Astyanax mexicanus: one gene and its partner. The protein of the gene in region 1 interacts with the protein of each later gene in a biochemical or structural test. Links are inferred from orthologs where the notes say so. Each region holds a gene or a part of one and is shown on either strand. Other genes may lie near its edges. The genes, in order: arhgef16 and tax1bp3.

Region 1 (7,452 bases):
CATACTTTACAGCTTCTTCTATACAGATGTATCAATGTGTACTGCCCAGTTCTTTTATGATACAGATCTTTCATTGGTACAGTTCTTTCATGGTTTTCCAAACTTCTGCACTAGCACATTCTTGATTTATAAACTAAGTTTTTCAGATGCATTCAGAGGTGGAAGTAAAGTGGTTGAATAATAGCAAATCAGTTTTCCTTGGATAAAATTTTGCCTTACAATACTCTGCACATACCTCAGCCACCACAGATTCAAAATATGTTTTGGGACAGGTTTTCCCAGGCTTCTGCAACCCACACCGTGAGCCATGCAACCACAAAAGATTTCATAGCCTTCAAGAACATGTATCAACATTATTATTTAAAATATTAAAGAAAAATGATCACATTTCACTCAACTTTCACTTTTCTGTTTGTAATAATTAACATAAAAATGCTAAAAAAAAAAAAGAAATACCAAAGGATAAGGTAAGGCAGTATGTAAACTGCTAACCATTTAGTGTTATCACAGGGTAAAGCCTGGGAATGCCCACACCTATATAAGCTGTGAGGTGTTATCTTGTAAAAGAGGTAGAATACTGGCCAACGAGTTTGAGTAAGGTCTAAAAAGTGTGTAGCATTTCTCAATTCACAGTCACATTTGTACATTAAATGTAATAGAAGGCATTACCACTCACAGTGGACAGAGGAATGGGTGGTAGTGAATAGGACAGATGGCATCTGGCTAAATTTGTCCCATTCGAAGGGACAAGAGACTCTGGCAGGAAGCCTTACACGCATTTTTTTTTAATTCTATGGAACATTGCATAAATAATTGTAAACATGTACTAGTTTCTATCCTATGACATGCAGCAAGTCAGTGTACAAAGCAAGAGGTTTCGGTTTTGTTTTGTCTGTCAACAAGCATGAGCTCCGTAACAAGTTTTATATTGGCAAATAATGAAGTTTATTTTATTTTATTTTTTTTTAATTAAAACAATATTGTGTTTATTTAAATTATGTAAAAATACTCATTATGACACAATATGTATTATTTCAACAAAGTAAATCTAATTAGTCACTGTACTGTATTTTCTTCATATCTTTACTGAAGTATTTCAATTTTGGGAGGGAAATTTCTTACTTTTTACTTCACCACATTATGCTATGTTATCCTGTGATAGTGTAGCAAGTATTTAATAACTGGTAACTAAAATGTAAATAAATATTAACATAAGACTTTGCGTGGTCAACAAAAAGATATCTACAGCTGCTTGATTCATGGAAATTGTTTGCCTTCAGTATTAAAATAAGTAATGATATTCTATTAAAGACTGCTGAACCAAGAGTGAGTCCTTTCACCTGATATTAGTTGAAAAATGTCTTGTTACCATACTTTTATTTCCATTGGACAACAAGCGGTTAACTGGACACTGCTGACAAAGTAATTTGATAAATTGATAGATTCTATCCAATTGTATTTGATCCTATATGGTTTACATATCATTTGCATAAAGGTGTAACTGCTTGGAAGTATGCAGTATAGGTGGTTGGGTAGGGGGAAAAGTCACACAAGGGTCGGCACCCCCTTTTCTTTCTTTTCAGTTCTCTCTCTCTCTCTTTCTCTCTTTTTCTGACCTATCGAGATATAATTAAACTACTGTATACGTTCACCTGCTGATGTGCTTTTACTCTCTTTTAAAAGCATCTCTTTATAAGATAAGATAAATGGAAAACTTCTACTTTCACTACAGAAACATATTTTACCTCGGGCCACTAGAACAGTGGAGTGTTTCATGTTTTTAACTGTTTAGGGATGGTTTATGAAATAAATTAAATTATGAAATAAAAAGGTCAATATGAAATATAAAATATTACACACAAGCTTTCCAATGCAATTTAAATGGAAAGAAAAAAAACTGTTACATATTTTAGTTAATTGGATTCATTTGCTATATAGATTTTATAGTAGAATATTACAGTCATTTTTTTTCCATCACTGGAGATAATTCAGGTCTGAATGGGTTAATGTCTAGACTTACAATATGTAGACATAACAGAAATAGAGTGTGCGGGTTATGCAACTATAAAATAATAATTATTCTATATTATTATAAGAGAAACATGCTAATGATTATCGTATTTTACTTTGTAAAATTTGTCTGTTAAGGAAGAAAAGTACATTATTCATGTGAATAAAAAAAAAATCCAATAATAAAACATGCTATCCAGAACATTCCACAGCTGAAAACACAAACCCATTTTAGGAAATTTTAAAATCATTTCCTAAAAAATGTGGGAAGTTATTTCCTCCAGTAGACAAACACACACACACACACACACACACACACACACACACACACACACACACACACAGACACACACACACAGACACACACACACACACACACACACAGAATATAAATACTTCTGTTACATTTTTGCCATAGTTATATAGTGCAGAGCCGACATGTATAGAGTGTTGTATAGAGTAGACTGACGTGGTAAGCTAGCTAAAATGTTCAGGGTAATCACTACATACATGGTGAACAGCTGCAGCTAGCTCTAACTCACAGACCTGTTAAAATCAGTACTTGTTGCCCTGTAAAAAAAAATCCCCATAAATAGCGTTTTTTAACAAACTTTTAGACAGTATGTTTGTTGTTTTTGCAGGAAAGGTGCTAATTACTCAATCACTCAGCTCTCCTCAGGTAGACTGTCTGTCTGTCCGTCAGCCTCGACACTTTTTCCTCCTTCAGTCTACTGCTCCACTGCTCCAACACTCCCACCGTCTCAGAAACTAACAAACACACACTCAGACTGAGAAACCAAGTTTTACTGACTGTTCACAACATTCACAAACTCGAGCTTACCTCTAAAGCAGCGCAGCTGTGCTCCGGGGAACAGGAGCAGTTCAGCGGGAAATCTGCAGCTTTCAGTTCAGTTCTGCAGGTTTAGGTGAGTTTGGTGTTGTTTTCTAGTTATTAGCTCCTCAGAATCGCTGCACCGCCTCGCCTGTTAACAATCTCTCTCTCTCTCTCTCTTTCTGAAGGTGCGTCACTCACAGGTGAGTGAAGCAAGTCCTCTGCTGTGTTCAAGAGCTCGTTTACTGTATAATCAGAGGAGTGTTCACATGTCTGTCTCCTGTCCTTTACTCATAATAATGTACAACCTTTAGGGAAAATATCAGTGCAGTGAACTTGTTCTCTGTATAAATCAGTGACGACAGAAGCATATTTAATTAATTAGATTCCATTCCCTGCATGTCCAATATAACATTTATACTAATGGATCTCAAAAAAAAAAAAAAGATTATCATTAAAAAGTTACTTTATTCAGTAATGCAGTTTAGAATGTAAAAATCATATTATATAGATGTATTAAATACAGAGAGATCTATTTTAAGTGTTTACTTATTTTATTGTTGATAATTATGGCTTACAGCAAATGAAAACCCAAAAATCAGTGTCTCAGAAATCAAAAAAATCATATAAGATCAATTGGTACTTTTAGTAGTGTGCCAAGTCCTGCTGGAAAATGAAATCTAGATCTTCATAGACGTTGTCAGCAGAGGGAAGCATGAAGTGCTGTAAGATTTTCTGGGAAAACACTGCACTGACTTTGGAAAATCAAAGGAGCAGAGTCTGGAGGAAAAGTGGAGAAGCACACAGTCCAAAGTGCTTGAGGTCTAGTGTGAAATGTTCACAATCAGTGATAGTTTCATGAGGAAACTTAGCGGGGAAAAAAATAAAGCCCGTCACCACTGTTCCTCTTGCTTTTTTTCATTTTTTTTCACAGAAATATAAAGAATAATAAAAGAATGATATAAATCAGAATTATTCATTATATAAGACCCATTCCATCAATTCGGTGCCATTGTAGGAAATTACATGTATAAATGTTATAAATAACTTTAAACTACATTTTATTATTAAGCATACTGTATTGTACATTGACATAATTGCAAAAGTAAGATATGTAATTAAAAACATTTAAAAAACTGCTTATTACACTGGAAAAAATAGCTTAATTTGTTACCTGTCCCCACTATAAACTATAAAATTTACTATGAAATATAATTGTTAAAATCCTTCAGAAATTAATTTTTTGCATTGTTCTGTGACTCCAAATCCCATCTATGTTTTAAAAATATATTTTTTTCATAATAAGTTCATAATATTTAAAATAAAATACACATTTTAGTTGTGTTGCCAGGGTTTCACTCATTCCTGTTAAAGTAAAACATTATCCCATCTTAAACATTTTACAAGTCACATCTTCAACAGGAAGTGACATCAGCTTCTTCTTCTAAAGACCATAGGAAGACCAAAATTAAGTTCCCCCATTTGTCATCTCAACACTCATTCCTGTTACCTGAATCAGTTCTTAGATATTATTTGTTTATTTTTAAAATACAAATTTTGTGAAAACAACTAGAATGTGTTGAGCATCCTCATGCTATTTGCAAAGCAGATTTATTTGAGCTATTTTTAATGTTTTTGCTAATTCTATGATAAAAATTTATTCCTGTTACTCAAAACATATAAAAAGTAACAGGAGTCAGTTCCATTAACAGGAGTGAGCTCCATTTGGAGGAATGAGTCCCAGTAAATTATTTTTTTTTTGTCATAAATATCAATTATTTAAATATGCAGTCAACAATTTCTTTAAAATACTTTCTTGAGAGAAAATTAAAGGAATTAGTGGACTTGCTTTTAACAGTTTTTTTTTTTTTAAACATTTTCGGCTTAGAAACCTTTTAAAAAAATAAGTAAAACTGCCTGAGATTGACCAGCACATGTTTTGAATAATTAATATGAGTTATCAGTTTCAAAGTTTAAAAAAAAGAGAAAAAGTTTAATTTCGAAGAATTACAAGCAAATGGCACCCATTCGATGGAATGGCCTTTAACACTGACTTCTATTGAATGTTAAGATGTTTTCCTTCAGAAGTTAGGTCTGGTAATAGTCGTAATATTAATCAGTCGATATATCGTCATTCTAACTTTTAGAGTATATTAATATATATATATATATATATATATAATTAAAACTAAGTGTTTTCTTTAGGTACTAATCGGACCAGCAGTTTGTAGTTCCATTCTGCAAAACAATCAGTTCTTTTTTAAGTTTAATTAGGATAGAATATGATGTTTACTGGATCATTTAACTGTAAAGAATAAAGGTATTTGTATTATTTAATATTGAATGAGTCATAAAAATCAATAGTGCTGCCCATACCTATTCTGTGTGCTGAGATCAGCCTCGCTATTAAGATCTGGAAGTAGTCCCACTACGCCACCTGCTGTTCAAACAGAAGTATAACCACATCCCAGCAGAATTTCTGTATGATCCACCACATCAGCTCTATAAAATGCAAGAACTCAGAAGCTCAGATGCTGTAATTTCGGTTTTTATTCAATCTGCCAGTCTGAAAAGGAAGGTGTACATTGATAAACCAATGCAAGCAAAGGCTGAGAAAGAAAATAAAATGTATTGGAGCACAATGTAACAACAAAAGGGCAATAAAGAGTTACTCAGGCTTACTATATACATTAGACATGAATAGAAAATCTTCTAATGGCAATGATGTTCACATATATCTCGGTTTTAATATGGCATCAAATGGATTTAAGTGGAATATTTTTCCAAACGATTACTCAACGATGACCATGCAATACACATACAGCTGTATAATATTCAGATATCTTTTTTTTACAGTTTCAAAAAATATACACTCAAAATATGTCAAGTTTACCTATCACACATTTCATGACACAGGACGGACACCACATATATACACACGCACATTCAGAAGACACATCCGGCACTTTTCCAAGGTCCAGGTACCCTAAGTGTAGTAGCTACGGTTCACCACTAGGAGGAAAGCTAAAAAGTGATAAAGGTTCTAAAACATGATGATTATCATCATTTTCATTCTGTTTCATATTTTTGGCCACATGATGGTACTGAAAGCATTTCTCTGCGTGATTTATAATATCCAATACGGTAACAATAGGACCTGACTGTGGGGTTAAACAAACAACCACAGTTATTTTTTTTACATGTGTGTAAAACTGATGTTGTACTAAAGTTCACTTTTTATACTTGTCAACTTGGTATAAACGTATTTAATTCTTGATTTAAAAATATATAACATCATTCATAACAGAACTCTCCTGTTGTTCTAGTGTTCTGGGCAATGGTCACTTAGTGTAATAAGACCATCGACTGCATGACTGAATAAACAATTTCATGTTGTCATTAAGGATAAAAGAAGAAAAAAAATGTATATATTAAATAATAATTCTATTCTTAAGAACATTGGCCTTGGCTTGTTTCTCTACATTATAACTACACTCATTAATTAACTAAGCACCTGGAATTCCTGGACTGGAAAAGAAAAAGGATGAACATTGTGTAATTCATAATTAATGTACATTAATAGAAGTCAGGATGTAATATGAAAATTATTGCCTATATTTTTCTTAATTTCAACATAGTAAGTAAAACTCTTAATTTTTTTTGTACGAAATCATTGCAGTTAATATGCAGTTTCATATCAAATATCTCTTTAGCTATCACTGGGGTCCAAGCACTTAATACTAAAGCCCTGTTATTTAATTTAAACTTTCATGAAATTGTCCTAATGATGGTTACGGCTGGTTAAAAATATGTGTGTAGGATAATATCTCTAAATATATATTACTATCTCTGAAAATACTTTAAAAGATTTGAAAAAATAAGAAATGTGGGAAAACCTCAGTCTGTATAAGCATGCATGGCTAGAAGCGTTTGCTAAGCATGCATTAGATCTTTTGAAATGATATGTTGATGTATCATCGCTGGGATGCTGTGGATGTTTTTCCTTAAAAAAAATAGTTATCTATAGATGTACACAGGGCCGCTATAGATCACAGGCTTTTGGCCTTTGTAAAATCAAACAGATTTCTTATTTAAAAGTATTACGAATCCATTATTTACCCTGAACTCTACTAAGCCATCTCAAAGCTATCCACTTTATGAGCTCTTGTGTGTACATGTAATGGAGCTGGAGGTTTGTAGGTTATGTCCAACAGGAGGCGGGAGCAGAGGGCGATGTGTGAAACAGAATAGGGGCGGCTGTGGGCGTGACCGGCTCTACTGTTTCGCTATGTCGCCTTTTTTTAGAATGATCTGCCGCTGCCACGGCGCTAGCTTGGTCTCGTCGTAACCAAGAGTCCGTAGTCGCTCCAGCTCCATCTTCTCTTCGTTCTCCTTCTCGATCCGCTGGCGTTCCTCCTCTTTTCTGCCAGGTCACAGAAAATCACACAGAAACAGGCAGTGCAATATTAGCATGGCACTGTCACAAAGGTCTAACTCTATAATATAGACTACTATAGTCTAGTATAGACGTAACATATGATAATACTGTTGTCCTGTAAAACTTCAGAGCCAGCAAATAATTCAGATTCATTCATTTAGATATCATTTAG
Region 2 (7,531 bases), on another chromosome or scaffold:
GATTACTTTCAGCCGCCCATGAAGATGCTGCAGTGCTAAAAGCCTGGCAGAGGCCAAAATTAGACCCATGACAGCAAACTCTAGGATTTTTTTCTCTACACTTTCTGGTGGTCCCTTAATTTCTGACTTCTGACCATTAAACAATAACAATGATTCAGTATATGATTAACTACAATAAATTAATGTTTATAGGTACCTAGGTAACACATAACAGGCTACTAATGATTTTTTTATTGGAAAAAATAGCTATATTTTTACACAGCCACATGCCAAAATCTATCAAAGACAGTGTAGAAAATCATTGGAATACAGTGTTGATATTTTGTGTCACAAAAAAAAAAACTTTTATGATCTTCTGCTATAGAGAAACAATCATGTTAATTTGGCAGCAATAATTAGGAATTAACAAACAAAACAAGTAGTATATGCATAAGAAAATAAGCATTGTATAAAAATGATAAAGGAAAGAAATTAGTGGTCTTTATGTAGAATTGATACACATGTTCCTTGGCATTACTCAACATCAATCTAAGAAGGAAAAAAAAAGCAAAACAAAAGGCAATGACTGATAAGTGTTTTTAAGTGTAGCTGCATATAGTTCTTGCAAACAATGAATGAATAGGACATCATTTACATATTGACAATCATCTGTACTCACACTGTCACTGTAACACTGCTGCTATATGTAGTAGTTGTTTAGCATTAGTGTTGAACACACAGAACTATTTTTGAAAACATTGAAAATTCACCCCTATGGGGTGTAAAAAATCACCCCAAATCAAATACTCAGTCTGTCTTTGAGATGATGGCTCACTGTTGTTCTTTGGCATTTGGTTGGATTACAGTATATAAAAAAGGACATTCTGTAGTGTGATTATCAAATGACATTCAATGGAGTGTTAGAGATTGCTATTAGTGTGGCATCATGGACTGTCTAACCGCATCCTGCAGAGATTTTCTGGTCACCAGTAGCCTGACTACATCTTCATTCTTTTTTGTTAGCCTTTTACGCGCTTGGTCATGAGTCACCATGGTCATGTCCCAGCCGTTTACCTGTTATAATAAAAAAACATACTGATGATTCAAGAAATTATATTCAGCAATAAGATAACACTATATATAATCACTTAAACATTTCTGTAACAAGAATGTTACAGTTAAAACGTTGTGTGCTATAATGAACAAACAGGTTCTCAACTTTCCAAGTACCATAAACCTTTATAATGTGAACGAATCTTGTCCTTTAAATCATACTGCATCTGAATGTGTGTAGCATTGCAGAAATCAAAGACTATTTCCTTAATGAGGCCAAACTGAATGAGCAAAAACTGACCATATCTAAAAATTCTGCATGCAAGAGCTACTGAATCAACAAAACATAGATAATTTTGTTTAAGAGCTTCAAGTCAAAACGGAAACACAAACAGTAGGTTAATAGCAGCCTCTGGTGGTCAAACTGATCTGAAATAAAAACCACTTTACAGAGCAAAAATAAAACTACTCTTTACCTGTTTTTAAGAGAACATATTTTTCCATGTTAGTATTGTATTTGTAAGAACAAGCCATACCCTAAACATGTGGTGCTAAAATGTCACTGATTATTCAACATTAGTCAACATAAGACATTATTCAGTTGCCCAACCTGCATTATTTTATCTCCCATCATGAGGCCTGCGACCTCTGCTGGACCTCCCTTTGACACCCTTGTGACATAGATGCCCTAAAAAAGCAGAAAATAATATACTTAAACCAAAATAAATTACAATACTTTTAAGTTGTACAACAGTGGTCACCAACCCTGTTCCTGGAGATCTTCAGAGAACTGTCTAATCCTAAATGACCCCATCTGATTCACCATCAGTTAGCTGAATTGACTTTTTTAGAGAAGGAGGGGGTGACCACTTTCAAGGATTTACATACCACTCAGTATATAAGCATTACATTGTATGTCAACTTTATAGAAGAAAAGAGAACAACAGCATGGAAATATATGGGTTTTTTTGCATGACAGCTATAATATCTGAGACGCCTCACCTTGTCTGTCTTGTCTTCTGAGAATGGATTTTGACCTGGGTCTTGATCAATTCCCCCTCCAATGCTAAAACCCAATATTAAATTATCACCGTCTCGTAGTTTTTGAATCTCTATCCTTTGCTGAAACACAAAAGAGGGGTAAAAAAAAAAAAGTTACAGCTTATCTCCAGCACAGTGAAACCAACAACATTAATACCACTCTGCTTGTCCTTATATGGCTATACAGTACTAGCTACCTGTAAGAAATTTACTTAAGCCACACCTAGGCATTACCTGTAATGATGTAATGCTGTACTTATGTTTTAATAAAATGTTTAATTGACTATTAATCCATGGTTTAGCTTCATTGTAAATCTTTATAATTTGTTTTATTCACTAGAAGCGTACGTTTGTCTTTTATTTCATACAAAAAAAAAAAACAGTTCTGGTTCACAGACAGACTCAGCTGTCTATGCATAGCAACTACAGCAAATGCTGATGGATGAAGTGGCTAGCTGTATGTTAGCTAACCTATTCTAGCTAGGCAGCTAACCGAGGCAGTTATTTGATTTATTGCAGGCTAGCTAACTTTTTAACTAAATGAACAACCAGAAACACGTCTCTAATAATATTGAGAGCTTCGTAAAAAAGTACCCACACAGTGAACTAACTCTGAGTAATGTTTGTTAGCTAAACTAGCTACCCGGAACTCTTGTAACACAGAGCGAGCTAATGCTAATGCTGGCTAGGCGGCTAACGTTATTACACGGGGGTACGTTATTTAGCATAGCCAGCGTTAGGTTAGCTTCACTGCAAAGCAACCAAAGTACGTTAACTTTAAATTCCGTAAACGTACGCATTTCCTAATTCACATACAGCAACTACATGATGGTCGTTTACAAAACACGACAAACTGCGCGTTATCTTTGTTTGCAAGTTAAGCTAACTAGTTTCCTTAGTCCAAGGAAAGTCCTCCTCTGTAGTTAGGCTAGCTAAACGCTACAGTAGAGGCGAATGAACAGAGGTGGGCTAGACATTTAACTACCCTATCTGTATCTGAAACCCGGAAACTTTCTCTAGTTTATAATCAAAAGAACTCACCACTACAGCTGTGACAGGCTGTCCCGGTATGAAAGACATATTAAAATGAATGACAGAAGATTTCCTTTCCCTCAACGAGCGAACAATGAACTCTTCTCAGGTTTTTTAGGACCGATGGTCTGCGGTTACACCCATGAATGACAACATGCAGATGACATGCTGGGGGCAGAGCCAGAAAAGGAAAGCTGGAGAAAAGGAGAACTCACTCCTCCTCCTCCTCCTCCTCCTCATTCAGCACTTTCCAAAAGGTTTGTAAAAATACCTTTAGCAAGTTTATATTTAAAATCTGTAATGTTGCATCTGTTTGATTACATCTCTGTGATTATCGCTGTGGCAAAGCACTGGCAAACATTTCAGGTGTTCCAGAAGCATCCAGACGTATAACAGTTATATACAGCTTTGGAAAAAATAAGAGATCACTTAAAAGTTATGAGTTTCTTTGATTTTGCCAAAATGAATCTATGAAATATGATCAAGAGGAAAATGGATGATCACAAGCCATTAAACCAAGCTGAACTGCTTGATTTTTTGCACCAGGAGTGGCATAAAGTTATCCAAAAGCAGTGTGTAAGACTAAAATCTCTGAATCGTTTTGTTATTTCAGCCCATTTTAATTTTCTGCAAATAAATGCTCTAAATGACAATATTTTTATTAGGAATTTGGAAGGAATGTTGCCCGTAGTTAAAATAGCAAAATCAGAGAAACTGATTCAGAAACTGAAGTGGTCTCTAAATATTTTCCAGAGCTGTACATGGGGGGTTTAGTTTGCTGGTACATTGCCTTAAAAGTTTGAGAACTACTGTATTAATTCATCAATGGGTAGAACTGAAGAGAGTGGCCTGTGCGCTGCACAATTGACCCTCCGTTATATTGCTAATCTGGAAACTCAGCTCTTCAGATTTATAAGCTTAACAGCCACGGTGCTCTTTCATTGTTGGGAAGACAAAGCCCCCCTCACACAATCAAGTAAATAAATGCTCAGTACAACAATGGAAGGGCAAAAAGTGACCACACCGCGACCCCAGCTGGTGATGTTTAGCATCACACTATGTTTTAAAGGCCGTGGTAGTGCGACAAATCTTATCAGAGTAATATATAGATCTCATTGCATTTATTTTTTTTGTTCAGAAGTGTTTTGGATTATAATATTGCAGCCACGCCTAGATTTTCTGCAGGAACCTTTTGAAGTTGGAGAAAGCCCTTAAATAATATATATAAATGTTTTTTTTAGAAGGAACTTGTTATCTTAAGGTTCATCAAAGCACCTTAAGGGGTTCCTCCACAGTTTGTAATTGAAAAACCTTAACGAACGTTTAACAGTATGGCTGTAAGAGGAGGCGACGATGTAAATGGTTCTGCTTCTCTGGCATAAATACAGCTCTGGAAAATCTTGCCTTGCCTATAAACTATAGACAACATTTTCTCAAATTCCAACTAAAATATTTTCATTTAGAGCATTTATTTGCAGGAAATGAAAAATGGCTTAAAACTTAAAAACGATGCAAAGGTTTCAGACCTTAAATAATGCCAAGAAAACTTTATGAAGATCATATACTATTTATATAAAGTTTAGAAATCAATATTTGCCTAAAATAACCCGTTTTTTAATCACAGTTTCATGCATCTTGGCATGTTCTCCTCCACCAGTTTTACACACTGCTTTTGGATAACTTTACGCCACTCTTGGTGCCTGGTGCAAACATTTCATCTTCTTCTTGATTATATTCCAGAGGTTTTCAATTTGGTAAAATCAAGGAAACCCATCATTTTTAAATGGTCTCTCTTAAACATATCAATATGAAATTTAGTGATTTCGGTCTGTAGCTGCTCTGAACAAAAGACCTAAAGACACTGAAAGACTATGTATAGCAGGGCCTATATGCGGTTTGTCCAAACACGTGGCCAGCAGGGGGCACAGGGGTATCGCACTTTGGCCTTTCTTTGTGTTTACTGGCCAGCTGCATGATTTTCAGGTCCATGCAGATCCCTGTAGCTGACGAACCACTTTATAGCATTATATTTTACATTTTACCAACTACTACAGCAATTTACACATTTGTGGAAAAACGACTGATTCTGCTGTTCATTGATTTCAGTGATTATTCTGGCACCACTTCACCAACTTCTGTATGCATCTGTTCAGAGAATGGCTTCAGTTTGCACTGCCCTTGTTCTCTAGGGTTTCAGAGCTCCATGTCAGAAATGAGCCAGCAACCATGTGGCTATGTCCAAATCTTTGTGAGAAAAAAATCGAATAAATATATACAGAGATAAGCGCCCCCATACTTAACTGTTAACAGTTCCCAACTGTTAACAATTAAAGGCCTTAGGTTCAAATTATGTCTGCATTTCACTAGACATTGACAATATACTATGGATTTCAGCCGAGCAAAAATTAACAAGTTAAATCATGGCTCATCACATCTCTTTGGTTATTTCATTACACTGCAAAGGGTGATTTCACTGAAAAACAATTCTAGAACAATTCAATTCTTTGATTTTGACATCTTTGCCCATGGCACCATAGCAGTAGATATGTATAACTTGCAAATAAATTGTGAAAACAGTATTAACTCTAAAAATAAATAAAGAATACATTAGTGAAGCGCTGAGTTCATACAACTACATGAACCTCTACTGATTATCTATCTATATATCTTATCTATATTACATTACTTCTACCACCTACATAATATTAAGTAGGTCCCCCTTGTCCCAACACAATCAATCTGACCATTCACGGCATGGACTCCTTGTTCTGGTCCTAAGTTATGAGGTCAGACCTCACATCACCAGAACATACCTGCCTGATGTTTGATGATTTTCTGATCCAGTCATCTAGCCATCAGAATTTGGCTCTTGTCAGAGTGACTCACATTTTCATGTTTGCCGATTTCCTGTTTTAAACACATAATTTCAAGAACTTTGTGCCCAATATATCCATTCCATGACATATGCCACTGTAGATGAAGATGATCAATGAAGATGTTCACCTGTCAGTTGAGCTAATGTTTTGGCTATGTTATTGTATATTTAAATATGTATACTAAAGCGTTCCTCATCGAGTCAGTATCACTTTCATGAATGAAATGACGGCCTCTATTGACAAATGATGCTTCTTGGAATAAGCCTCAAGAAATGTTTAGGGAGATTCATGTTAAACACTCATTTTGTATCTACCTTACTAGTACTTATAATTGCTTACACAAAAAAATGTATGACCCAAACTGTGACTTTTTCCCCTTTTTGTGTAAGATCACAAATGCCATCAACATCATCATCAAATCAAAAAAAAAGTTGTAGCCCAGCCAAAGATCCTCCACAGTGGAGTTTTTGAATGAATATTCTGTCTTTATTATTAGTATGCAAAAATATTGGATATTTTTCATGATTGACAGTATGAAATGTTTGTTTTTTGGACCCAATTATTTAGAGTACACAGAACTATTCCAAAACAATGTGATCATCACAACACATTAATTAACTGATTTTTCAAGTAAGTGGTCAGGCTTCCCAATTTTTTTTTGACATAGCATTGCAGTCCATGACAAAACCTTCATGAGTCTTCATCTAAACTACACTCATTATAATTCATATAGTAATTATTTATAGGGTACCAAGAAATCTCCCGTAATATCTCACGTTTAAAGCTGGACCAACGTCAATCTCACAAACTTGCAGCACCAAGACGTCTCTTCAGGGCTGCCACCCCATCAGTTCATCATGGTTTCTTTTGTTAAAAATCGTGCAATACTTTGTTGATGTTTCTCGTCTGCCGCTGTGCTGATGCACATAAAACATGCCTAAAAAGTCTTGTCTGAAAGTTTTGACGTTGAAGTAAAAAACCTGAGGTATCCCAAACTTGAGTGGCTCGATTAATGCGCCTAAGGACATGTGAGAGCGTACTCACCTTTTCTCCTTCACCATGTACACTAAATGAGCAGAGAGGTGTTGCAGAATATAACACAACATGAACATTCACGCAGCGACTAAGAAATCACGCACTGAGAATCTAGAAAGCCCACACAGAACATGAAAGTCAAGAGTTTAAGTGGGTGACAAGCAGCTCGTCAACTCAATTACTGTCCGGGCACGTAGGGCCAGCTAATTGAGCTGCCTGAGAGCTGCATGTCTCGGATCAGCGTCTCGATGGGCGTCTTTCCAACCAGCCGCATGAAGAAGAGCTGAGAGATGAGGTTGGCGGGCACGGCTCTGAGCGAGGGCAGACGCAGTAGCAGGCGGCCGAAACGCTGTGGCTGGGTGGGATACTGCATGCGCTCGTATTCGGTCAGGGCCACCTGGGCTTTCTCCTGCAGACTCTCTACATGGGCCGGGTCTGTCAGTCCACACGCGTCTGTTAAGAGACACAGAGACACATACATGCAGAGTGTCAGTGGTTAATTCCTGGAGACAGCT

The links.
Region 2: the proteins of arhgef16 (region 1) and tax1bp3 form a complex in vitro, tested with the Homo sapiens proteins (2 studies listed by BioGRID and IntAct, with this or other methods). The link is inferred for Astyanax mexicanus from reciprocal best matches to the Homo sapiens genes ARHGEF16 and TAX1BP3.

Annotation. Positions count from the first base shown.
Region 1 is NC_064419.1:18,039,157-18,046,608, forward strand, and holds the start of arhgef16 (rho guanine nucleotide exchange factor 16), read right to left. Parts: upstream 3,031-7,452; 5' UTR 2,852-3,030; intron 1-2,851. Other genes in the region: espn (espin), read right to left, coding at 7,118-7,265. UniProt on the Homo sapiens protein: Guanyl-nucleotide exchange factor of the RHOG GTPase stimulating the exchange of RHOG-associated GDP for GTP. May play a role in chemotactic cell migration by mediating the activation of RAC1 by EPHA2.
Region 2 is NC_064423.1:19,202,603-19,210,133, forward strand, and holds tax1bp3 (tax1-binding protein 3), read right to left. Parts: upstream 3,279-7,531; 5' UTR 3,154-3,278; coding exon 3,115-3,153; intron 2,155-3,114; coding exon 2,035-2,154; intron 1,721-2,034; coding exon 1,643-1,720; intron 1,054-1,642; coding exon 913-1,053; 3' UTR 217-912; downstream 1-216. Other genes in the region: nr2f6b (nuclear receptor subfamily 2 group F member 6b), read right to left, coding at 7,195-7,469. UniProt on the Homo sapiens protein: May regulate a number of protein-protein interactions by competing for PDZ domain binding sites. Binds CTNNB1 and may thereby act as an inhibitor of the Wnt signaling pathway. Competes with LIN7A for KCNJ4 binding, and thereby promotes KCNJ4 internalization.